3 linked regions of the Struthio camelus genome follow. The protein of the gene in region 2 interacts with the protein of the main gene of each other region in a pairwise test. Links are inferred from orthologs where the notes say so. Each region holds a gene or a part of one and is shown on either strand. Other genes may lie near its edges.

Evidence for each region.
Region 1: the proteins of RTN3 (region 2) and RTN4 interact in binary tests that used the Homo sapiens proteins (3 or more experiments, as listed by UniProt). The link is inferred for Struthio camelus from reciprocal best matches to the Homo sapiens genes RTN3 and RTN4.
Region 3: the proteins of RTN3 (region 2) and tyrosine-protein phosphatase non-receptor type 9 interact in binary tests that used the Homo sapiens proteins (3 or more experiments, as listed by UniProt). The two-hybrid records come from large-scale screens. The link is inferred for Struthio camelus from reciprocal best matches to the Homo sapiens genes RTN3 and PTPN9.

What each region holds. Positions count from the first base shown.
Region 1 is NC_090944.1:118,941,541-118,948,929, forward strand, and holds the start of RTN4 (reticulon-4), read left to right. Parts: upstream 1-4,321; 5' UTR 4,322-4,469; coding exon 4,470-4,959; intron 4,960-7,389. UniProt on the Homo sapiens protein: Required to induce the formation and stabilization of endoplasmic reticulum (ER) tubules. They regulate membrane morphogenesis in the ER by promoting tubular ER production.
Region 2 is NC_090976.1:1,170,830-1,178,862, reverse strand, and holds the start of RTN3 (reticulon-3), read left to right. Parts: upstream 1-4,986; 5' UTR 4,987-5,069; coding exon 5,070-5,202; intron 5,203-8,033. UniProt on the Homo sapiens protein: May be involved in membrane trafficking in the early secretory pathway. Inhibits BACE1 activity and amyloid precursor protein processing. May induce caspase-8 cascade and apoptosis.
Region 3 is NC_090953.1:23,095,524-23,103,056, forward strand, and holds the start of tyrosine-protein phosphatase non-receptor type 9, read left to right. Parts: upstream 1-4,523; 5' UTR 4,524-4,566; coding exon 4,567-4,724; intron 4,725-4,984; coding exon 4,985-5,141; intron 5,142-5,485; exon of another isoform or gene 5,486-6,024; coding exon 6,025-6,129; intron 6,130-6,479; coding exon 6,480-6,576; intron 6,577-7,256; coding exon 7,257-7,354; intron 7,355-7,533. Other genes in the region: SNX33 (sorting nexin-33), read right to left, coding at 25-1,462. UniProt on the Homo sapiens protein: Protein-tyrosine phosphatase that could participate in the transfer of hydrophobic ligands or in functions of the Golgi apparatus.

The sequences.
Region 1 (7,389 bases), on a different chromosome or scaffold from region 2:
CTCCTGGCTGTCGGTGTAATTTAGAGCTGCTCTTAAATTACTTTCCTTTCTGCAGGTGGACTGGCTCAGCACCTGTCTGGCTGCCTGAAGGAAGCTTTTAAAGAAAGTCTGCGACAGATCTGAGTAAGAAAACTGTATATTGCCATGGTTACTAATACATTTACTGTAGAAATGGACTGTTTTGATTTATCAAGATGATTTTTGGGGGGAAAAAAATCACAAACTAGAAAAATTGGCTCAACTCAAGTGAGCCCACAGTAAACTCCTAAGGGATGTTAGAAACAATTCCAGGATCAGAAGAGCCTGGAACACAAAAGAACACAAAAGACTCAAAAAATGACTTTCTCTCAAGAAAGTATTAATTATTTAAGAGGACCAGGCTGAAACGCAGGCCCCACAGGAGACTCTGATAAAGTTAAACCTGCCTCAGTTACCATCAAGAGATGGCAATCCCTCTGCGCATACTGTGGTTTTAACAAATTTTTCCCTCCATGTGCTGCATTTGTATTACTAAACTACGCAGTGGTTTTGTCACCGTATCCGACTACTGATCTTGCAGAGCAGTACAACGGCTGTTCAAGCCTCGACAAAACTGATGGGTAAATATGCTTGATGCCCAAGGCACTGCAGCACAGGCATGATCTGAAAGCAAAAGACTGGCAGGGTTTCATTCTTCCACAGATAAAGACATGATGCCTGAAAGCTGAAGGACTGTACACTGAGCTTAAGAGAGAGACAGAAATCCAATTATCACTGCGAGTTTTAACTGTGTGTTTGTAAACTACCTTCTGAGACCAAATGCTTTTTTCTGTTTGATCCTGCTATGAAGTCATAATACTGGATTTGTCATGTCACAATTATTTTCCTAGTGATAGTCTGTGATATGCTATGATATCATGTTACTTCTGTGTAAGATCAAACAGAAGGTCACAGTGGATAGTGAAGAAGAAAATCCAACTAATGCATAGCTATTGTCAGCATTGCTACAGAAATACAGAAACATACCAACCAGTGTTTCTTTTCATGCACTCAGTGCTTTTCTTCACAAGGGTGTTATATCTGAAAACTTCTCATGAAGAACTAAGTTCGTAAATTAACTTGCTAAATATCCGCACAGTAGTCCTACTTGCTGATAATCTTCAAGTAAGAAATGTAAAATAGTCTTCTAAAGAGCAAAAAGAAAGGGAGTTTTGCAATGCATATTCAGAAGTGGAGAGCTGTGCTTTCCTCTCGCTGGTTAATTTGACTTGCTCAGGCTATGTGGAACTCCCTTCCTGTTTCCCTTCAAGACATTGAGTCACTTCCTTTCTTTAAATGAAAAACCCTTTCATTTCTCTTTAACTGATGATGGATTCTCTTTCAAGCATTCTGATAAAATCAACTGAATTATACATAGATTTTCCTACTCCTAGATGACTAAAATCGTTGCAGTTAGATATGTTAAAATTAGAGCGACAGCGCTGTCTATACTCAGAATTTTACAAATTATTGAAAGCAGCTTGTTCTCTAAGAGTATATTTTAATGAAATTTTAATCTCTTGTTTAACCAACAGATGAGAAATTTTAGATTTGCAGGTGAAATGGTAATTTATTCAAATCACTTTTATTTGCTATACAAGGAATAAAATTTGCAACACAAGAATGAAAGTATATTTATTTTCCTGGGATGTAATAGACTGATACACAGAAAAGTTGAATTTGCTTCTAGTAAAACATTTCTGTCCCAGTCAGCTACTGGTGAAAGGGGTAAAAATGCCACTGAAGATTTCACAGTCGTATTCATTGACAAGGTCATTGCATCTGGCCTGTTTTTTAGCATAGATAGAAGCACAGGATTGTTACTACTTTCTTAATGCAATTTACTACATTAATTTTAAGCCCCCTCAAAGTGGAAAAATCTGAGAATTTGCATTTCCCCAAACTGAGTGTTGCCCCCCACGTATATTCTCCAAATTTACTAGCTGGTAGGAAAACGGAGGAAGTATTGTTAAGATTTTCTTTGTATGTACTTGTGCTGTGGCTACTGCTGTAAGACACTGGGTAGACCTATCAATAGGTAAGTAAAAAGAAGACTGAAGATGTCAGTTGATATATTAAACCATGATCCAAATTCACTGCTGGTGCAGTGAAGTGGAATTACTGGAGGTACAGTCCTGGAGTTACAGCAGGGATTTTGGGCTGTGATCCTCCATGCGATCTGCCATGTCAAAAATACCATTCGGGGATAATTGATGTAATTCTAGGTGAAGTTCAAGGTTCAAATGTGAGCTTGCTGAGCTAAACATTGGTTTAAACTCTGTCCTAGGTAGTGTAATATAAATTTCAGTAAGGATGAGTTGAGCCGCTAGGCCAATTCTTTTATTTGCACATATGCAGTTCATTGACTGTAACAGAGCTGTAACAATAAAACTAGGTACAGAATTTAGCCATTTACTGTATGGAAAAACTTACTTGTTTTATATTTAGCAATACATTAATTTTAATCCATCTGTCCTGCTGCCTTTATCCATCTGTCCTGATGCCAACAGCCTTTATTATTATGTCACTGTAAGAGGGCTGACTTGAAATGTCCATGGATAAACTATCAGTAGAGAATAAAAAAAATCCTAGGGAGAAAGAATGAAGTCTAAAGAACTTACAGACTGTTACCTGCTTATTCACGTGCTGTGAAACTTTGTATCTCTATTGCCTTCAGTGTATTCACAAAATTACTTTCCACTTTCCGTATTTCCTTTAGTCATTTCTGATCGAGGCAGGGAACACTGATGTCTTCTACTGATGGCCGAAGGCTCCCCTGCATTTTTCATCCGAAAGGCAGCAGCTCCCACCGCATGGATACCTTGAGATATGCTAATCGGGACCCCTCCTGAGACTTTCCTCATGTCAAGCAGTAAGTCAGGGGAAAAGATTCATTTTGCTTAGTGGGACTGCTGCCACGCGTACGTATCTTTGCACACATCGCATCACAGCAGAACGGGCTCTGCAGCGATAAGAGATTTGTCGTGCCTTCTTCTTAAGTTACGCAACACTGAATTTGCGGTTTCCTTCCTCTGAATACTTTCCATGAACTAATTTCTTTACGTAGCGACATATGGGAGAATAAATCATTTGTGGGATTAAAAATCCATAGTAACGTCGGAGAAGGGCAAATACAGAATTGCAGGCCCCTTTGCTCTAGCTGCGGTGGCTATATGGGTGGAAATCACATCCAAATGTATGCCATGCCAGTTAAATCAAGCGTCACCCTGAGGGCTTCGGCCAGTGCTCCAGCCCCGGGTCGGAAAACAAAGAACTAACACACAGAGGCCGGCGTGAATGTTTTGCTTTGTGAACGAGCGGCTAATGTTTCCCTGCACCAGTCGCACAGTTTAAAATCACATTTTCAAGCGACGGTTAAATCCGTTCAGGCGGCTGATTCACCCCGGCCTGAGCGGACAAACAAGCTTACCTGAGCTGTAAACGTCGCCTCCCCGCGCAGCCAGTGGATTCCCAGTACCCTTCTTTTAGACAATTTCCTTTTTTTTTTTTTTTGGCACCATGTTTTGGTTAATTTTTGGTTCATGTCCCAGCCCCCACCCCCACCCCCCGCCGGGGCGATGTCCCCGGCTGCGCCGCTGCGGGCCAAAACGCGTCAGGCGGCTCCGCGCCCCCGGCCTGCGGGAGCCCCGCGACATCCTCTCCTCGCCCCAAACCGCGGGTGTCCGGAGCGCGGGAAAAAACAAACAACCCCCCCCCCCAAAAAAAAAAACACCCAAAAACCCGAATATCAACAATTAAAACGCCCCGGCAGACGGCAGAGATGACTCACGAGCCGCCGGCCTCGGCCGCGGCAGGCTGCGGACACCGCCCCGGACCGCGCCGGGCACGTTTGGGCCGGGCCGGGCCGGGCCGTGACGCAGCCCCGCTCCCCTCACACCGGGGCCCCGGCGGCAACGCGGCCCCCGGGCACCACGGGGCGGCCCCGCCCCTGCCCGCGGGGGCCGGGGGCCGCGGGAGCCCGGGGGCGGGGCCGGGCGGGGCCGGGGGCGGGGCCGGCGCTCCCCTCCCCCCCCGCCGCGGCCCCGCCCCGCATTCTCCGCACTGAACTTTACCCAACTTCGCCCCCCCCCCCAACCCCGGCGCAGCCCGCCCCCCCCCTCGCTGAGTATTCGTGAGGCGACCACACCCCCTCTCCCCCGGCGCCGCGCCTCAGTGGCCAGCGCTGGCGCCTCGCGGCTGCCCCCGCCGCTCCTATTGGCCGGCGGAGCAGTCGCTCGCCGGTGGCCCCTCCCGCGCGGGCGGGGGCGGGGCGGGGCGAGGCGGTGGCGCTGCGCCGGCGTCTCCCCCCGCGGTGACTCAACAGGGCGTGGAGGCTGGTCCCGCAGCGGCGGCGGCGCAGCCCTCGCCCTCCCCCCGCGGCAGCCACCGGAGCCGGCAGGCACAGCCCAGCCCAGCGCCGCGCACTCATTGTTCCGCCAGCTCCGGGCACCATGGACGAGCTGGACCAGTCCCCCCTGGTCTCCTCCTCCTCTGGGCCGGTACGGCCGCAGCAGCCCCAATTCAAGTACCAGTTCGTGCTGGACGACGAGAAAGACGAGGAGGAGGAGGAGGAGGAAGAAGAGGAAGAGGAGGACGAGGATGAAGACTTCGACGAGCAGCTGGAAGTGATGGAGAGGAAGCCCGCCGCGCCTCCCGCCGCCGCCCAGCCGGAGCGGCCGCCGCAGCTGCTGGACCTCGGCGGAGCCGCCGAGCCGCCCCGCCCCGCCGCCCCGGAGCCGCCGCAGCCGGACCGAAGCTCCCCGGGCGTCGTCTCCGTCTCCTCCTCCTCCTCCTCCACCTCCGCCGCCGCCACGCCGTCCCCCGCGCAGGAGCAGCCGCCGGCCCCCGCCCGGCCCGCTCACCCGCTGCCGACCAAGCCGGAGCCCCCCGCCGCCGCCGCCACCGCCCCCCGGAGAAGGGGGTCCTCCTCCGGCTCGGCCGGTGAGTGCCTGCGCGCCGGGGCCGGGCAGGGCCGCGGAGCCGCCCCGGGGGCGGGGGGCGGCGGGTCCTCGCAGGCGGTCCGGCTGCCCGCTCCCGCCGGCGGGCTGCCGGCCTGCCTTTGTCTGCCGCCCCGCGGCCTCCCGCCGCCGCCCTGGGGCGCGGCTCCCCCCCCCCCCCCCCCAGCCCGCTCGGACCGGCTCGTTTGGGGAAAAAGGGTTTTTCTTTTTTTTTCCTCTTTTTTTTTTTCTCCCCTTTCTTCCCCCTCTCTCTCTCCCCCCTTTCCCCTCCCCTTCTCTCTTTCTTATGTTAATGGCGGGAGGGGGAAAGCGCCGCCGCGCCTCGCACATGTTCCGCCCGGGGGCGAGGCCGCAGTGCCCGCCCCGCCCCACCCGCCGCCGCCGCCGCCTGGCAACGGCCGCGTCGCGCGGCGCCGCCGCGGGGGGTGGGCGGTGGCGGCGGGGGGCCCTGAGGTAACGGCCGCCGCCGGCTTGGGTCGAGGCGGTTCGGGCTGCGGCCCCTTGCGCCGCGGGCGGAGGGCGCGGGAGGCGCCTGCCCTGGTCGTGTCGCCCCCGCGGCGCCGGGGACGCTGGCTCGCCGGCAGGGCGGTCGGCGGCGGTGAGATGGGCGCCCGCCCCTCTGCCTGCGGGATGCTGAGCCGCCCTGTGGCGTCGGCGGCGCCCGTGACCGGCGGCGTGAACGTACTGCGGCCCTAGAAATATCTCTTGGGGCGGGGTGGGGGGGGCGGGGAACGTGCAAAGTATTTTTAATCTTAGTCGTTTCAAACAAGTCACCTTCCTGGGAGGGATGAGGGAGAGGAGTTAAGGGTCATCTCCTTCCTTAAACCTACCTCATGAGGGCTTGCAGCCAGGCAAAAGGTGACTTGATGGGTGGCTCTCTCTGCGGGCTTGGCAAAGCGTGCAGCTCTTTTGTGAATAGTCCTTTGTGGTAGTGCTCTTCTGCTTCAAACAATGAATCTTAAATCCCACAGGAAAAGAAAAATGTGAGCTGGTAAAGTCTGCATGCAAGCACAAAAGGCACATAGAAGACATGTTGCTGTAGGTGTGGTAGCATTGGAAAAAAACGCCAGCCTCACATCATGCGTATGCCCCCAGCTTGAGATCCTGGACAGTCACAAATAGCCACAGCTGGGGCTTGGGACTTGTGTGGAGAGAGTACCTCCAAGTACCTCCACTAAGAGACGGCCCCTTAATGTTGGGGTGCTGCCTAGGTCAAGGCTGTTGTACTGGAAGGCGTGCTACCCACTGAGCAATCGTCAGCACTGCTAAAATACCAAAACCCTTGCAAGGTCTCTAATCCAGGGGCTGACCAGGGATGACTAATGCGTTGCATATGCTGATGGCAATTGTATCTTGGCTCCACTTGCACTTAGTTTGAAATACAAGAGCTAATTTGAGGTGATTAACACAGTGAAAACAAACAAAATCGAGGTGCCTTCTTATGAAGACAGTAGTTTCTTATCTTAATTACTATTGTCTTACTGGTGCATTTGTTTTAAAAGATGGAGAATTTCCACGATGACTTGATATCAAGGTATGAATAAAAGTGATACTCAGAGTTTAATTAAAACCTAGAACACAATAAAAAGTCTTTCTTAAACATGAATTTAATTTTGTTTTCTGGGAGTTTTCACAATGCGTTTTGTGTATGTGAGAATGATTGTGCTATTTTCTTTCAGGAAGTCTAGATGCTACTGTTTTGTTCTTTTGCTAGCTCTCAGAGTAACAGTATGCTGCGGAGACTTCTTTCATTTCCACCATTTGGAGGGCAGATATTCACACAAACTTGCAAAAGATTTATGAGGAGGGATAATGTATGACAGGTGAATAGAAATTTTTCTGGGTAAGTTGTTTGGGTGGAGCAGTGGAAAGTGTGAGCAGAACGGAGTGGAAGGAATGGGGTCAACCAAATCTTGCTGTTGCTCTGAAAAGTAGGGATAAAAGCATGTTTTCTAGAACTGTTTTGTTTTTTGTTTTTCTTTTTTCTGCTCCCTGCCCCCAGAAAGGGAAGGCAGAAAGCAGAATAATTCCTGAACTGTTTCTTTTCAAGAGTAGGTAGAGTGAAGGAGGCATAATTGTGGTGCATGAGAGCTGGGTAGTGCAGGTGAGAAGTGATGTAAAAGATTCGTTGCTTGTGACACAGGTGCCGTGTTTGCCTAATGATGGGTTAGGACATAATAGGCTTATATTTTAAGCACTTGGAACTACTAAATGAAGACAATAAAATAGTCTTCCATCAGAGGAAACCAAAATATTCATGACGTGTCTAGACAATACTTTAGTCAAACAGTTTATGTGTTAAGCATGTTAAGTATCCATTAAACATCAGCTTTTCTTTGGTTTTGCACCAAAAATGGTGGTTGATGTTGAAACTATCTTAATCAAAATACTTAATTTGGCTCCAAACTAGTTC
Region 2 (8,033 bases):
AGGCGTCCGAGCGGCCACCTTTGTCCCAGTGCCCTCTGACCCCCCCATCCCAAAACGTGGAGGTGGGGGGGGGGGCCCAACCCCTACACGACACATCAGAGGATCCCCTCCCCCCTGCAGCAGGGGGCCCAGGCGTCCGGGCCTCCCACCCCCTGCAGCAGGGGGCCCAGGCGTCCGGGCCTCCCACCCCTACCGCACGCAGAGGCCGAGGGACCCAGGCATCCGGGCCCCTGCCTGGTGCCCTCTGGCCCCGAAATGTGGGGGGGGGACGGGGGGGATCAACCCCTATAGGAGACATCAGAGAACCCCCACCTTTACCCCCCCACTACCGTCCTGCACCTAAGGGACGCCCCACTGCACCCCACTACCATACTGCACCTAAGAGATGCCCCCCCACCCCCAAGGCACCCCACTGCTACCATACTGCACCTAAGAGATGCCCCACTGCACCCCACTACCATACTGCACCTAAGAGATGCCCCCCCACCCCCAAGGCACCCCACTGCTACCATACTGCACCTAAGGGACGCCCCACTGCACCCCACTACCATACTGCACCTAAGAGATGCCCCCCCACCCCCAAGGCACCCCACTGTTACCATACTGCACCTAAGAGATGCCCCACTGCACCCCACTACCATACTGCACCTAAGAGATGCCCCCCACCCCCAAGGCACCCCACTGCTACCATACTGCACCTAAGGGACGCCCCACTGCACCCCACTACCATACTGCACCTAAGAGATGCCCCCCCACCCCCAAGGCACCCCACTGTTACCATACTGCACCTAAGAGATGCCCCACTGCACCCCACTACCATACTGCACCTAAGAGATGCCCCCCCACCCCCAAGGCACCCCACTGCTACCATACTGCACCTAAGGGACGCCCCACTGCACCCCACTACCATACTGCACCTAAGAGATGCCCCCCCACCCCCAAGGCACCCCACTGTTACCATACTGCACCTAAGAGATGCCCCACTGCACCCCACTACCATACTGCACCTAAGAGATGCCCCCCACCCCCAAGGCACCCCACTGCTACCATACTGCACCTAAGGGACGCCCCACTGCACCCCACTACCATACTGCACCTAAGAGATGCCCCCCCACCCCCAAGGCACCCCACTGTTACCATACTGCACCTAAGAGATGCCCCACTGCACCCCACTACCATAGTGCACCTAAGAGACGCCCCCCCACCCCCAAGGCACCCCACTGTTACCATACTGCACCTAAGGGACGCCCCACTGCACCCCACTACCATACTGCACCTAAGAGATGCCCCCCCACCCCCAAGGCACCCCACTGTTACCATACTGCACCTAAGGGACGCCCCACTGCACCCCACTACCATACTGCACCTAAGAGATGCCCCCCCACCCCCAAGGCACCCCACTGTTACCATACTGCACCTAAGGGACGCCCCACTGCACCCCACTACCATACTGCACCTAAGAGATGCCCCCAGTACCCCACTACCATAGTGCACCTAAGAGACGCCCCCCCACCCCCAAGGCACCCCACTGCTACCATACTGCACCTAAGGGACGCCCCACTGCACCCCACTACCATACTGCACCTAAGAGATGCCCCCAGTACCCCACTACCATACTGCACCTAAGAGACACCCCCAGCCCCCATGGCACCCCACTGTTACCGTAATGCACCTGAGAGACAGCCCCAGTGCCTGAATACTGCAGGGCGCCCCCGAGGCAGCCCCAGAGCACCCCACTGCCTCCTCAGCGCACCCAAGAGCCTCCCCCCCGGCGCCACCAGCACCATAACGCCCCTAAGACAGCGCCCCACAGCACCCCAGTGCAAGGCGCTGTATAACCCCCCCCGGCCCTTTTTGGGGGGGCTACCGTAGCGCACCTAAGAGCCGCTCCACGCCAGCCCTCCCGAAAGGCGCCGCGCGTCTTAAGAGCCGAGCGGCGGCTCAAGGCTGGCGGCCAAGCCGGGGAGGCGCCGGGCCAAGGCCTCCCCTCCTCGGGAAGCGGGACACGTCCGCGCCAGGCTGCGGCTGGCCCCGGCCCCGGCCGCGACGGGGAAGCCCTTGGGGGGGGGGGGGAGCGCCCGGGGTGGCACCCGGGGGTCACCCCTCACCGAACGGGGCGCTGGGCGGGACGGTCCCCCCGCTTCAAGGGGTCCTGAAAGCAGGTGGCTGCAGGGGGGGGGGAGGGGGGGTGCTGGGACAGGCCTCCGCCTGCGGCCCCGGGCATGCAGCGAGCTGGCACGGCCTCAGCTGGCCTCGGCACAAAGGGCCCCTTGAAGCAGCACCGGCCGCCCGGATCGGGCCGAATCGAATTAGCCTTCTTTGTTCTCTCCCTAATTAACAGGCGCTAAGCGGCAGGAGGGATTAAATTAAATGCCGGCCTGGGGGGGGGGGCCTCGGACCCCTTCCCCGGCTCGAGGACGGTCCCAGCCCCTTACGAGCCGCTGGAGAATCCCCCCACGGCCCCCAGTGCTCCCAGTCGGGGCTGCCCAGGGGAGCAGGTGGGGGGGGGCCGGGCCCCCCGGGGCGCCCCGGGGCCCCTCTGCCTACGCACACGCGTCGCCCGCACACGCACGCTCCGTGCGCGCAGGCGTGCCGTGCACACGCAGCCCCCCCCCCCCACCGCGTGCCTCCCTCGCACGAGCGCGCGGGGCCTGGCAGCCGCGCCAGCCCGCCCCCCCTCGCACGGGCCTGCACCGCCTCGCACGAGCACCTGCCTTGCACGAGCGCCTGCCTCGCACGAGCGGGTCCCCCTTGCACGAGAGCCTCCCTCGCACGAGCGCGTGCTGCTCCTGGCAACCTCGCCTGGGCAAACAGCGGCAGGCTCGCGCCTGCCCCGCTCTCGCACGCCGCCTCGCACGCTCCTCGCACGCCCCGGCTCCCCGCCGGCCGCGTAAATCATTGACGGGCCGGGGCGGGAGGGCGAAGTCCGGCGCGCCGGGGCCCCGCGACCGTTCACCTCCCGCCCCTGCCCGGCCCCCTATGGGGCCCATATAGGCCCCCCCCCAGCCCCGCGCAGCTGAGCCGCTCGGGGCCGGACAGACGGACGGACGGATGGGGAGCTGGGGACGAGCGGAGCCAAACTGGGGGCACTAGGTTGTACCGGGATGGGGGTCCCGGGCCATATAGGGGCTCCCCATCCCTATAGGGTCGATAGGGGCAGAGCCAGCCCGTATAACGGGACTAGGTCACATGGAGGCTGGTTCCTATAGGGGTTCCCAGGCCTTTACAGGGGCTACCAGCCTCTACAGGGCCCTGGGGGTGGACCCAGCCCATCTAGCAGGGACTGGGGCACATGGGGGCTGGTTCACATAGGGGGCTCCAATACGCGTGAGGGTCCCAGTACATATGGAAGGGTCCATGATCTATAGGTGGAGCAGCTCTCGGACCAGGTCCCAGCCCATATGGAAGGTCTCAAGCCTGAGCAGGTGGGTCCCTGATCCCTATAGGGAGATCCCAGCCCCTATAGGGGTCCCTGGTCCCTATAGGCAGCTCCTAGTCTCTACAGGAGGGTGGCTGGCCCCTATAGGGGTCCCTGGTCCCTATAGAGGGTCCCGGTTCCTATAGGTGGTCCCCGGGCCCTATAGGGGTCCCGGGCCCTATAGGGGGTCCCCGGTCCCTATAGGGGTCCCCGGGCCCTACAGGGGGTCCCGGCCCCTATAGGGGGCTCCTAGTCCCTACGGGGGGGTCCTCGTCCACATGAGGGCACAGGTCACGTGGGCCGGTCCATATTGGGGGGGGGGGTCCCGGACCAGGTCACGTGGGTCCCCGGTCAAGCGGGTTTCGGTCCGCACCGGGAGTCCCGGTTCGTAGAGAGCCGGTCCCGGTTCGGGTCACGTGGGACCCGGTGCACCGGGCCCCCCCCCGCGTTCCGGTCCACGTCACGTGACGGCGCCTCCCGGGTCACGTGAGCCCCGATCCCCCTCCCGCCCCCCGACTCACCGTTCCGCCGCCGCTGCCGCCGCTTCCTCCCCCCGCGTCGCCGGCCGTCCCGTTAGCCCCGCCCCCGGCTCCCCATTGGCCAGCCGGCGCTCCGCCCCAGGCCCCCCCCCAGGCCCCGCCCCGCCGCGCTGTCACTCACCGCTCCCCCCGCGCCCTCTAGCGGCGGGCGGCGGTGGCAGGCGCGCCTCATTGGCCAGCCGCTTCCCGCCTCGCCTCGCTATTGGTCGAAACCATGTCAGTCAAGTCGGGAGGTCCACCCCCCCTTCCCACCTTCCCCTCACCGTGCGCCCGCCGGCGGCCGGGGGGGGAGGGAGGCCGCGGCGCGTGCGAGGGCGGTGATTGGCCGAGAGCGTGGCCAATGGGGGGCGGGCCCGCGTGACTCATTCATGCGGCGGGGCGGGCGGGCGGGCAGTGACCGCAACATCCCGCAGCGCTGCAGCCGCTGCCGGGGGCACCGTATAGCCCGCTCCCTCCATAGGGCCTCTATGCCCTACAGACGACCGTAGGGAGCCACCATCCCCTACAGGGAATACGCTATAGCCCCTATTCCTTTCAGGGGCCACCCTATAGCCCCATCCACCCTGTAGGGGGCCATATAGGCACCCTAGGGGACCGTATGGACAGCGGGGCCCGGCGTGATCCCTAGAGCCGCCTCTACAGGCCGGAGGAAGGGGGGAAACTACAGCTCCCAGCAGGCAACGCGCGTCAGGCGGGCGCCAGTGTCGCGGTGCACGCTGGGAAACAGCGGGTGTCATGGCGACGGGCGCGCCTCACGCAGGCCACCCTTCGCGCCTCGGCGGCCTCGCGCATGCGCGGCGGCGCCCGTCTGCGGGGCGGAGGAGGGGGGGGGAGTGCGGCGCGGGCAGGGCGGGGCGGCGGTCGGCGCGTGCGCGGCGGCGCCCGGCTGCGGCGAGGCGGGGGGAGGGGAGGGGAAGCGGGGCGGGGCGGCGGTCGGCGCGTGCGCGGCGGCGCCCGGCTGCGGGGCGGTGGGGGGAGGCGGCGCGCGCGCGCGGGCGGCCGTTGGCGCATGCGCGCGGCCGCCGCGCCCCGCCCCGCCGCGCGCCCTGTCAGTCGGTGCGCGGCCGCCGAGAGGGACGGACGCTCCTCGCCCAGGCTCCGCGCTCGCCGCCATGGCCGACCCCGCCACCCAGTCCCCCTACATCTCCTCCTCCTCCTCCGCCGCCGGTCACCCCGAGCCCGGCGTCCCTCACCCCCCGCCGGGGGCCCGGGACTGCAAAGGGGCCGGTTCCCCGTCCTGTGCTGGTAAGGGCCCGGGGCGGGGGGGTGGGGCACACGGGGAGGGGCACGGGCTGGGGGGGGGACGCGTTTGGGGGCACGAACACGGGTGGGGGGTTAAGAGCCCTTTCGAGGGGCACGAACGCGGGGGGTGAAGAGCCCTCTCGGGGGACACAGATGGGGAGTGAAGAGCTTTTTTGGAGGGCAAATATGGGGGGAGCAGAGCCCTCTTGGGGGGACGCAGATTGGGGGGTGAAGAGCCCTCTTGGGGGGACGCAGATTGGGGGGAGCAGAGCCCTCTTGGGGGGACGCAGATTGGGGGGTGAAGAGCCCTCTTGGGGGGACGCAGATTGGGGGGTGAAGAGCCCTCTTGGGGGGACGCAGATTGGGGGGAGCAGAGCCCTCTTGGGGGGACGCAGATTGGGGGGTGAAGAGCCCTCTTGGGGGGATGCAGATTGGGGGAGCAGAGCCCTCTTGGGGGGACGCAGATTGGGGGGAGCAGAGCCCTCTTGGGGGGACGCAGATTGGGGGGAGCAGAGCCCTCTTGGGATGCAGATTGGGGGGTGAAGAGCCCTCTTGGGGGGACGCAGATGGGGGGAGCAGAGCCCTCTTGGGGGGACGCAGATTGGGGGGAGCAGAGCCCTCTTGGGATGCAGATTGGGGGGTGAAGAGCCCTCTTGGGGGGACGCAGATGGGGGGAGCAGAGCCCTCTTGGGGGGATGCAGATGGGGGGAGCAGAGCCCTCTTGGGGGGACGTAGATTGGGGGGTGAAGAGCCCTCTTGGGGGGACGCAGATGGGGGGTGAAGAGCCCTTTGGGGGGACGCAGATGGGGGGTGAAGAGCCTTTTTGAAGGGCAAATATGGGGGGAGCAGAGCCCTCTTGGGGGGACAGAGACAGAGGAGTGATGAGCCTTTTTAGGGGGCAAAGATGGGGAGGGAGAAGAGCCCTCGAGGGACACAGATGGGGGGGAACAGAGCCCTCTTGGGGGGGCAAAGATGGGGGGGAGAAGAGCCTTTTTGGAGGGCAAATGGGGGGAGTAGAGCCCTCTTGGGGGGACACAGATGGGGGGATGAAGAGCCCTCTTGGGGGGACAGAGACAGGAGTGACAAGCCTTTTTAGGGGGCAAAGATGGAGAGGGAGAAGAGCCCTCTCGGGGGGCAAAGATGGGGGGAACAGAGTCCTCTCGGGGGGGGACACAGATGGGAGGGAGAAGAGCCCTCTCGAGGGACACAGATGGGGGGGTGGAGAGCCCTCTCGGGGGGCAAAGATGGGGGAAACAGCCCTCTTGGGGGGACACAGCTGGGGGGGAGAAGAGCCTTTTTGGAGGGCAAATGGGGGGGAACAGAGCCCTCTTGGGGGGACCGAGACAGAGGAGTGGCGAGCCTTTTTAGGGGGCAAAGATGGGGAGGGAGAAGAGCCTTCTCGAAGGACAGAGATGGGCCAGTGAAGAGCCCGATGGGGGGGGAGAGCAGCCCCCTTGGGGAGATGGACACAGAGGGTCAAAGAGCCCTTTTGGGGGGCAAATATGGGGGGTGAAGAGCCCTCTTGGGGGAACAGACAAGGTGGTGAAAAGCCCTTGTGGGGGGCACGGATGGGAGGGGGAGGAGAGCCCTTTGGGGCCAAAGACGGAGAGCGTGAGGAGCCCTTTTGTGGTGGAGCCCTCTCGGGGCAAGGATGGAGAGGGAGAAGAGCCCTTTCGCGGTGGTGGGGACACGAGAGGAAAGCTGGCTGACGGGCGGGTGTGATCTCGGGGAGGGGGGACACGGGACCATCTGTGTGACACCTGCCCAAAGGCCCTCTGCGACGGAGGGCTGTGGGTCAGCCGAGGGGGGGGGGTCTCCCCGAGGCCGGGGCTGCAGCAGAGCCGAGGGCGACGCCACGACAAGGGCCACCCATCTGTCGGCGGGGGGGGGGGGTCCGGAAGGGCAGGCAGCAACAGGCCCCAGGGAGGGGGCGCGTCAGGGGTCCGATTTTTGGGGGGCAGCGACACAGACGTCTGGCTTTGGGGGGGGGACGACGAGCTGTGTGGCGTCCCTCCCGCTTCCAGCCCTTTCCCTCGGCGAGAGCCGTCCCGTTTCGCTCCCGCCCCCTTCCCAAAGGGAATATTTCCCCCTCCCAGAAATAAGGGCGAGGGGGCAGCTCCTCCGGCCCCAGGAAGTCCGTCTGACGCGAGACGGACCCTGCGGGAAGGTGGGGGACGCAGCTGGCGGCATGGCACGGCCCCCCTCCCAGGGCAGGTGCTGGGCCGGGGCCCCGGTGAGCCGGGTCCCCCCGACCCCGCCGCGCCGGCGCGGTGCCAAAACCTCCCTTTTGTTCCGCTGGGGCCGGGGTGAAGGGGAGGGGGGGAGCCGATCCGGGAAGGGATCCCGAACAAAGGAGCGTCTGGCTCCAAATCCCCCCTCGCGCGGCGGCGGGGGGAGCCGTGCGGGCCGGCGGCAGGTCGCCATTGTGTCTCCGGCGAGGCCGGGCGCCTCGCGCGGCGCCGAGATCTGCAGTGCGGATGCTTCCCAGGAGGGCTGAGGGAGGGGGCTGGCGGGCGAGGGCCGCCGGTGGCGGAGCCGCTCGGAAAACCCATCCTTGGAACAGGAGCGAACCGGCAGAAAGCGACAAATAGGAGCGTGCCGGGGTTTTTTGGTAGGGCGTCGGGTGGGGAGGCGCCGACGTCGGATGCTCGGCAAAGCGCCGGCGATGGGAAGCTCCCTGGCGGTTCGATCCCGGGGGGCCGCGGTGGGCTTGCGAAGCCGGGAAGCAAGCTGGGAAGCAGCCGGCGGGAGCAGGGCGGTTACGGAGCATCCCGCTCCCGGGCTCAGCCGGCTGCTTCGCCCTCCGGAGCCGCCTGTCCCTGCGCTTCGCCCTC
Region 3 (7,533 bases), on a different chromosome or scaffold from region 2:
CGGAGAGCGTGGCAGCCCTCTTACCTTTCTGGAGGTGGATGATGTCCGGGAAGTTGGAGAGGAGCCCCTGGTACAAAGAGAGAGTGTCCAGCATGAGGAACAGGTCGTTCTTGGGCTGCTCAGCAAACATCTCCCCCACGGTCTCGTACGTCTTGCCCGTGTGGGAGATGGCGTTGTTGAGGGCGTCTGAGCTGTACGGGGGGTCCATGTGGAAGGAGTAGCTGATGGCTTGGAAAGCATTGCCGAGCTTCTGGAACTCCTTGCGGAAACCCCCCACGTGCTTGCGCACCAGCTCCGAGGCCACGTTGGTCAGCTGCAGGACGCTGTCGTCCATCTTCTTGCTGAAAGCCTTGAAGGCATCCACACGGTCCTCCACGTCCTGCAGGTCCTGGTGCTCCGTGGGGATCTGGAGGGTGAGCAGGAAGCTGGCCCCCACCATCTCGTCCTTCTCTGCCCGCCGTTTGCCCAGCTTCCACTGCTTCTCATCGCGGCAGCAGAGGAAGTGCTGGAAGCCCTCATACTGGGAGAGGACGGGGTGGCTGGTCATGTGGTCCATCCACAAGATCAGCCGCCGTTTGCGCTTCTCAATGAAGTCCTCCTCAAAGCGGCCGGTGGCCTGCTTCTCAGGCAGGTGGGGCACCGAGATCACCGTGAACTTGTGCAGGAGGCGGTTGTACAGCCAGTCAAAGTGCTTGTACCGCCGGTAGACGGGAGAGTTGATGTTGCTGGGGGTCAGCTTGTAGGAGATGTAGCTCTTGATGCCTTTGAATTTGGTTTGCTTGGTTGGGTCCTCCACGGAGCAGATGAAGGGGTGGGGATTCGCCCGCCACTGGGGGCCTTTGGAGCCCATCTCAATGCAGTACACCTCTGCGATCTTGGACATCAGAGGCACATCGCCCAGGATGAAGGCTTCCACCCCAGAGCGGACGAAGCAGGAGAAGCGGTTGAGGTTCCTCCCCACCACGCTGCCCCTCTTGGAGGAGCTCATGCTGTCCTGCCTCTCCAGCGCCGGCTTGGGGCGGTAGCCGGCGTGCTGGTGCGAGTAAGCCGTGGGGTACTGCAGCGTGGGCGAAGGGTGCCCATTGGTGCCTGGAGTGCTCCGAGGCTCCTCCACCACTGTGCAGGCATCATCCCAGTCATCCCAGTCGTCGTCATCGTCGTCCTCAAAACTGCCCTGGTAGGAGACACTGGGGTTGGTCGGAGCCACGTAGAAGGAGGAGTCGTGCCCAGGGGAGCCGGCGGGGCTGTGAGAATAGTCCGTATAATTGGAGCCTGACCTGGACCGGAGGATTTCGACATAGGAGGCAGGGAAGAGGCCTGTCTCTCCGCGGCTGTTTTTACCCTGTAACCACCCATCCAGGGAGTTCTCGCTGAAGATCACGAGCTCCTCGTTCTCCTGGATGCTGATTTCCTCTTTGTTTTCGCTCTGGAAATTGTAAAGTGCTCTGGCTTTCAACGCCATGGCCGTTCCCAGGGGGACGGTGTAACTCAATCCCCGCAGCAAAAAAACAACAACAACAAAAAAAACAATAAACCAACAACAATACCTCCAGATAGTCCAAGGGTCGCTGCTAGACCCAGCCGTCACGCACTTCAGTGGCTTGGGACCTGCTACCGAGCTGTGGGAAAAGGCTTAGCCGATTTCACACAGAAATAAAAAAGATATAAATCCTCTAACATCTGACACCAAGGTCTGTACATTCAAGTAACTCCAGCGATCTAAGTGCACCAATTTAAGAAAACATTCCTTGGGCAACCAAAAAACATGTTTCGTTCCACTCCCTCCTTCTACGTGATATAAACCTCGGCCGGACAAACAGACATCCCGAAGTCTGCCATTTCCCCGGAGCTTTTATCTTGCTGGGTCGTTGGTCCCGCCGCCGTCTTGGTTTTAACTTACGTTAAGAAAAGATCTTGATCCAAATTAGGAAATCCAAAGTGACTTTCACAGGACTCTTCTTCGAGATCCGTGTTTAAAATACACAAATTCACTTCCCAGCGAGGAAATCCAGCGCAGCTCGGAGTCAGCGGGCGCCTGGAAATCGCCGGGAAGCAAACCCAAACACAACACAACCTCCCGGTGATCCCAGCACAAGTATTTTGCAATTCCTTTCCGGGAGGCCTTTTTTTTTTTTTTTTCTCACGAAATCCGCAGACCTCTAGTGGGACGGACGGACGGACGGACGGACGGACGGGCGGGCGGGCGGGCGCAGAAGGAAAAGGGGGAGCAGCGAGCCCAGCCCGGCCGGGGCAGCTGGCGGCGCCGGTCCCGCCGCCGCCGCGGTCTCCGCCGCCCGGTGCCCGGTGCGCGCTGCGCGGCCGCTGCGGAGCGGGGACGGCGGGCCGCGGGGCCGCCCTCAGCGCATGGCCGGGCACGGGCTCCCGGGGCCCCGCCGCCGCCGCCGCCGCCGCCGCCGCCGCCGCCGCCGCCGCCGCCGCCGCCGCCGCCCGGGCTGCGCTGCCGCTGCCCGGTGTCGGTGCCGCTTCTGCTGCCGCTGCCCGTCGCCCGCTGCCGCTGCCGGTGCCGGTGCCGGGCTCGCCGCAGCCCGCCGTGCCGTGCGGCAGCGCCCAGCTCCCCGGTTTGCGGCCCGGCGGCGGCGGGCAGGGCCCGGCAGGTCGCACGCTGCCCTCTGCAGGCGCCGGCCCGGCGGGGCCCCGCCGCCGCCGCCCCCGCCGCCGCCGCCGCCGCCGCCGCCCCGGCCTCCCCGGCCCGGCGCCCCCGGCCCGCATGGCCCCGACGTCCCCGCCCCCGGGGTCCCGGTGCCCCTGTCCCACATGTCCCCAACATCCCGTCCCCGGGGTCCCAGCACCCCTCTCCCAGATATCCCCAACGTCCCTGCCTTGGGGTCCCAGTGCCCCTGGCCCGCATGTCCTGCATGTCCCTGCCCCGGGGTCCTGGTGCCCCTGGCCCACATGTCCCTAACGTCCTTGCCCCCAGGGTCCCAGCACCCCTGTCCCACATGTCCCCAATGTCCCCGTCCCCGGGGTCCCAGCACCCCTGTCCCACATGTCCCCAACGTCCCCGTCCCCGGGGTCCCAGCACCCCTGTCCCAGATATCCCCAACGTCCCTGCCTTGGGGTCCCAGTGCCCCTGGCCTGCATGTCCTGCATGTCCCTGCCCCGGGGTCCTGGTGCCCCTGTCCCACATGTCCCCAACGTCCCTGCCCCGGGGTCCTGGTGCCCCTGTCCCACATGTCCCCAACGTCCCTGCCCCCGGGGTCCTGGCGCCCCTGTCCCGCATGTCCCCAACATCCCCGCCCCCGGGGTCCTGGTGCCCCTGTCCCGCATGTCCCCAACATCCCCACCCCCGGGGTCCCAGCACCCCTGTCCCACATGTCCCCAACATCCCCACCCCCGGGGTCCCAGCACCCCTGTCCCGCATGTCCCCAACGTCCCCGCCCCCGGGGTCCTGGCGCCCCTGTCCCGCATGTCCCCAATGTCCCTGCCGTTTCCCAGCGCCATCGTCCTCCCCTTCCCACTTTGCAGGCAGCCTTCCCCATCCGCACCCGCGGGGGGTGTCTGCCGTGGGGCGCTGGGCCTGCCCCCCACTCGTCCTTGTGCCATGGGCTGCCCGGCACTGCCTGCTTCCCAGAGCCACCGTCCCACGCCCGACCGGAGGGCCCGCGGGGGCACTGGCGGTGGTGGCTGCCCCGAAGGCACCCAGGGGGCACCCACAGCACGTCCCCCCCCGGGCCAGGGCCAGGGCCCGGGGGCAGGTAGCGTGTCATGGGGCAGGCAGGGCGCTAAGGGACGGCGCTACGGGGCAGTGCTGTGGGGCAGAGCTTTGGGGCCAGCGGGGTGTCAAGGGGTAGTGCTAGGGGGCAGGCAGGGTGCTATGGGGTGATGTTATGGGGCCGGCAAGGTGCTGTGGGGGGATGGCGGCACGATGGGCAGTTCTGTGGGGCCAACAGAGCGATGTGGGGCTGACGACTGCGCTGTGGGGCAGGCAGGGCCCCGTGGGGCCGGCGGGGGCCGAGGGCAGCGCTGTGGGGTCGGCGGGGCTCCGTGGGGCCGGCGGGGGCCGCGGGCAGCGCTGTGGGGCCGGCGGGGCTCCGTGGGGCTGGCGGGGGCCGCGGGCGGCGCTGTGGGGCAGGCAAAGCCCCATGGGGCAGGCAGAGAGAGGCCATAGGCAGCACTGTGGGGCAGGCAGGGCCCTGTGGGGCCGGCGGGGCCCCGTGGGGCTGGCGGGGGCCGCGGGCGGCGCTGTGGGGCGGGCGGGGCCCCGTGGGGCAGGCAGAGAGAGGCCATAGGCAGCACTGTGGGGCAGGCAGGGCCCCGTGGGGCCGGCGGGGCCCCGTGGGGCCGCGGGCGGCGCTGCGCGTATGATGATGGCGGCGCTGGGGCTGATGGCGGAGCCGGCAGGGGGCGGGGCGGGGCCGGCAGGGGGCGGGGCCGGCAGGGGGCGGGGCGGGGCTGTGCGCGCCCCCGCGCGGCCTGACCCGCCACATCCTGCCCGGTGCCGCCTGTCCCTCGGCGGGCGGCGGCGCGGCCGGAAGTGCGTCAGGCGCGCGGGCGGAAGGGGCGGGCGGCGGCGCGGGCAGTGCGCGTGCGCGGGCCGGCGTTGCCATGGAGGAGCTGAGCGAGGCGCTGGCGGCCCGCGTCGCCGTCTCGGCGGCGCCCAACAGCCCGGCGGCGCCGCACCCCCGCTTCGCCGCCTACAAGGCCCGCGGCCGCGGCCTGGGGCAGGCCGAGCGCCGCCAGCGCCTCCTCCGCCTCCAGCGAGCGTAAGGGCCCGCCGGGGCCGCGCCGCGGGCAGGGGGGCGGCCGGGCCGGGCCTGGGCCGCGGCCGGGCGGCGGGGGCGAGCCCGTCCCTCCGTCCGTCCGTCCCGCGGCTCACGGGGGCGGGGGGCGGTTGCGGGGACTGCGCCTCCTCCCGCCCTCCCTAGCGGCGGAGGGGTAGCCAGCCCCTAAGGAGCGCGGAGGGGCAGGGAAGTGCCCGGCCGCCTGCCGCGGAGGCAAAGCAGGACTGTTTTCTCCTCGGCAGGAGGCGGCTCGACTACGTGAACCATGCCAGGAGGCTGGCAGAGGATGACTGGGCAGGAGTCGAGAGCGAGGAGGAAGAGGAGGCGGAGGAAGGTGCGAATGAGGAGGAGATGGAGGTGGATGTTCCTCGGAAGCTGCCCAAGCGCTATGCCAATCAGGTGAGGAGCTGTCCCCATCCCTGTGACAGGGTGGGGATGGGGCTGCGGTGCTGAGCAAGGTGACGAACGTGGCGAGGTTAACGTTGTGGGGGGTCGCGGTGAATATATTCCTGTCTGGCGTGCTCTAGGTGATGGGTGTGTTGGGGCTGAGAGCAGTGTGTCCTAGCTGGGTGCTCAGTGCAGAACCACTACTCATCTCTCTTTCCTCTGAGACGTGCTGTCTTCAAATGGAGGACAGGCTGAGATGGATTGGCTGGGTTCCTTGCGAGATTTCAGCTCTGCTAGAGACACTTATGTCCCACTGTGCAATACTTGATTAAAGATTCTATCTCTCCTCCCATCAGGTACAGCTGGAGAGGAAGGGAAACCTCAACTGATGGGTGTTTTTAGCCTTGGCACTATATTGGTTCTAAAAGACCTACAGCCTCCCAGGTGATCATAGCCAGGAAATCTCAGGGGTCTGAAGAGGCTCACTTGTCTAGTCCCTTTACTCCTTTATTTAGCAATCTCTAAGGTCTGCTGCATATTTAAAATAATAATTAAAAAACAACAACAACAACAAAGGGCTGAAGCGAGGCTGGAAAAGGGATTAAGGTACTGGGATGCAAAAGTGAGTACTGTGGGTCTTGTGCTGTACTCTGAATTTCAGCTGGCAGCTGGGAAGTAAGAGAAAGGCTTGGGGGAAGAGTTTGTTTTGCAGGTTGGTTAGAAGGAGCCATGCTCCTATGGTGCTGTATTGCAGGGTGATGAGCAATACACATTGCCTCTGTGGCACCCAGTATAAACCAAGTCAAAACCTTCTTGCTTTGTTCTTGAGCTGTGAGTTTTCCATAACTTCAGGAGAGCTGTTACTAACTGCCTTTTTGGGGGGGTTTCTCCTCAGCTGATGCTGTCTGAGTGGCTGGTAGATGTCCCTTTGGATCTGGAGCAAGAGTGGGTTGTAGTGGTGTGCCCCACAGGGAGAAGGGCACTGGTTGTGGCATCCAAGGTAAGAGAGAGCAGTGGTGAAGTCTCACCACCTGGTAAAGGACCTGTATGTGTCTGTTACGTCATCATGCCAACATGACATGAAACCAAAGGCTGGCCTGTGTGTCTTGCCTGCCTTGTGCTGTGGGAGCCGTGTGGGGCTGAAACTCTCCTTGAACTGAAAGAATTTGGGCGCTGAGAGATGTGGTAGTAACAGAGCCGTATCTAATGGTGAGTACTGCTCTCCTCTGACAGGCTGCTTGGAGGTGGTTGTAACGGAGACCTGGGTTTCAAAGCCTTGGGTGCAGTCAGACGTGTGGCATGAGAGCAGGGAGACTGGCCTTGACTTTTCTCTCTCCCACTTCCTTGCAGGGCTCAACAGCAGCTTACACCAAGAGTGGCTTCTGTGTCAACAGGTTCCCGTCCCTGCTGCCGGGTGGGAACCGGCACAATTCGCTAAATGAGAAAGGTAATGATCTGAAGAGGCCATTGAAATAGATGAAGGAGAACAAGCCTGCTTCTCCGTGTGTGTGTGTGTGTCTGCCTGCATGACAGGCTCAGTGCTGCTCCTCCAGCTCCCGCAGGCCCAGCAGAGCTGTACCCTTTTCTGGTGCCAGGGATTATTAGCTTCAGCCCTGTTCGTGAATCTGTGGGGATAACTAGACATGGACGATCTCGGACACCTTTATGCTACACAAGAACAACTTTTTATCAGCTGCCTGCTCACCTGATGCTCTTAAACCTCAGCATCTTCCTCCCTTTTAAGTACCAGAGCTGTGTACAGTATCTTTCCAGTGACCCCTTGGTGCTGATGTTTCTCAAGTTAAAGGGTGTAGCTTTTCTTGCTAAGAAGGAGGATGGCCTTTCTCAATATCCCATACAGTTGCATTGCTTGCCCTGAGGAGGGTTTATCAATGGATAGGTGCCTTATTCTGAAATGTGCTTTTGATTGAAGTTCTTGAGCTTGCGGGGCTCTTAAAGCTAAGCTTTTTGTGGTCATGCCTTCTGTTCAGCAGAAGGGAGTCTCTGCCTGTCTCAGGCTTCCATCAGTGCTAGGGTTTAATGCAGGAGAGATTTGATCTAATTAAATTGCCTTTTGGGTTTGGTAGTATCTGGAGCGTGTCTGGATCTCCCTGTGTCTGTGTGCAGTTTACAGCATCTTGGACTGCATCTACAATGAGGCGCAGCAGACGTACTATATCCTGGATGTGATGTGCTGGAGAGGACACCCTGTTTACGACTGCCAGGTACTGAATCCCTCCCGTGTGCCCTGGTCTCTTTTTTGTCACCTGTTCTGTGAGCCGCTCTGCAGCCGGAGCTGGATGCAGCCCATTGTGCAGAAGGATGAATCTTTCATCTAAATGCCAGCATCTTTACAGCTTGTGGGCCAGCGGTTACTGGAATAACTGGGCAAACCTTTTGGGGA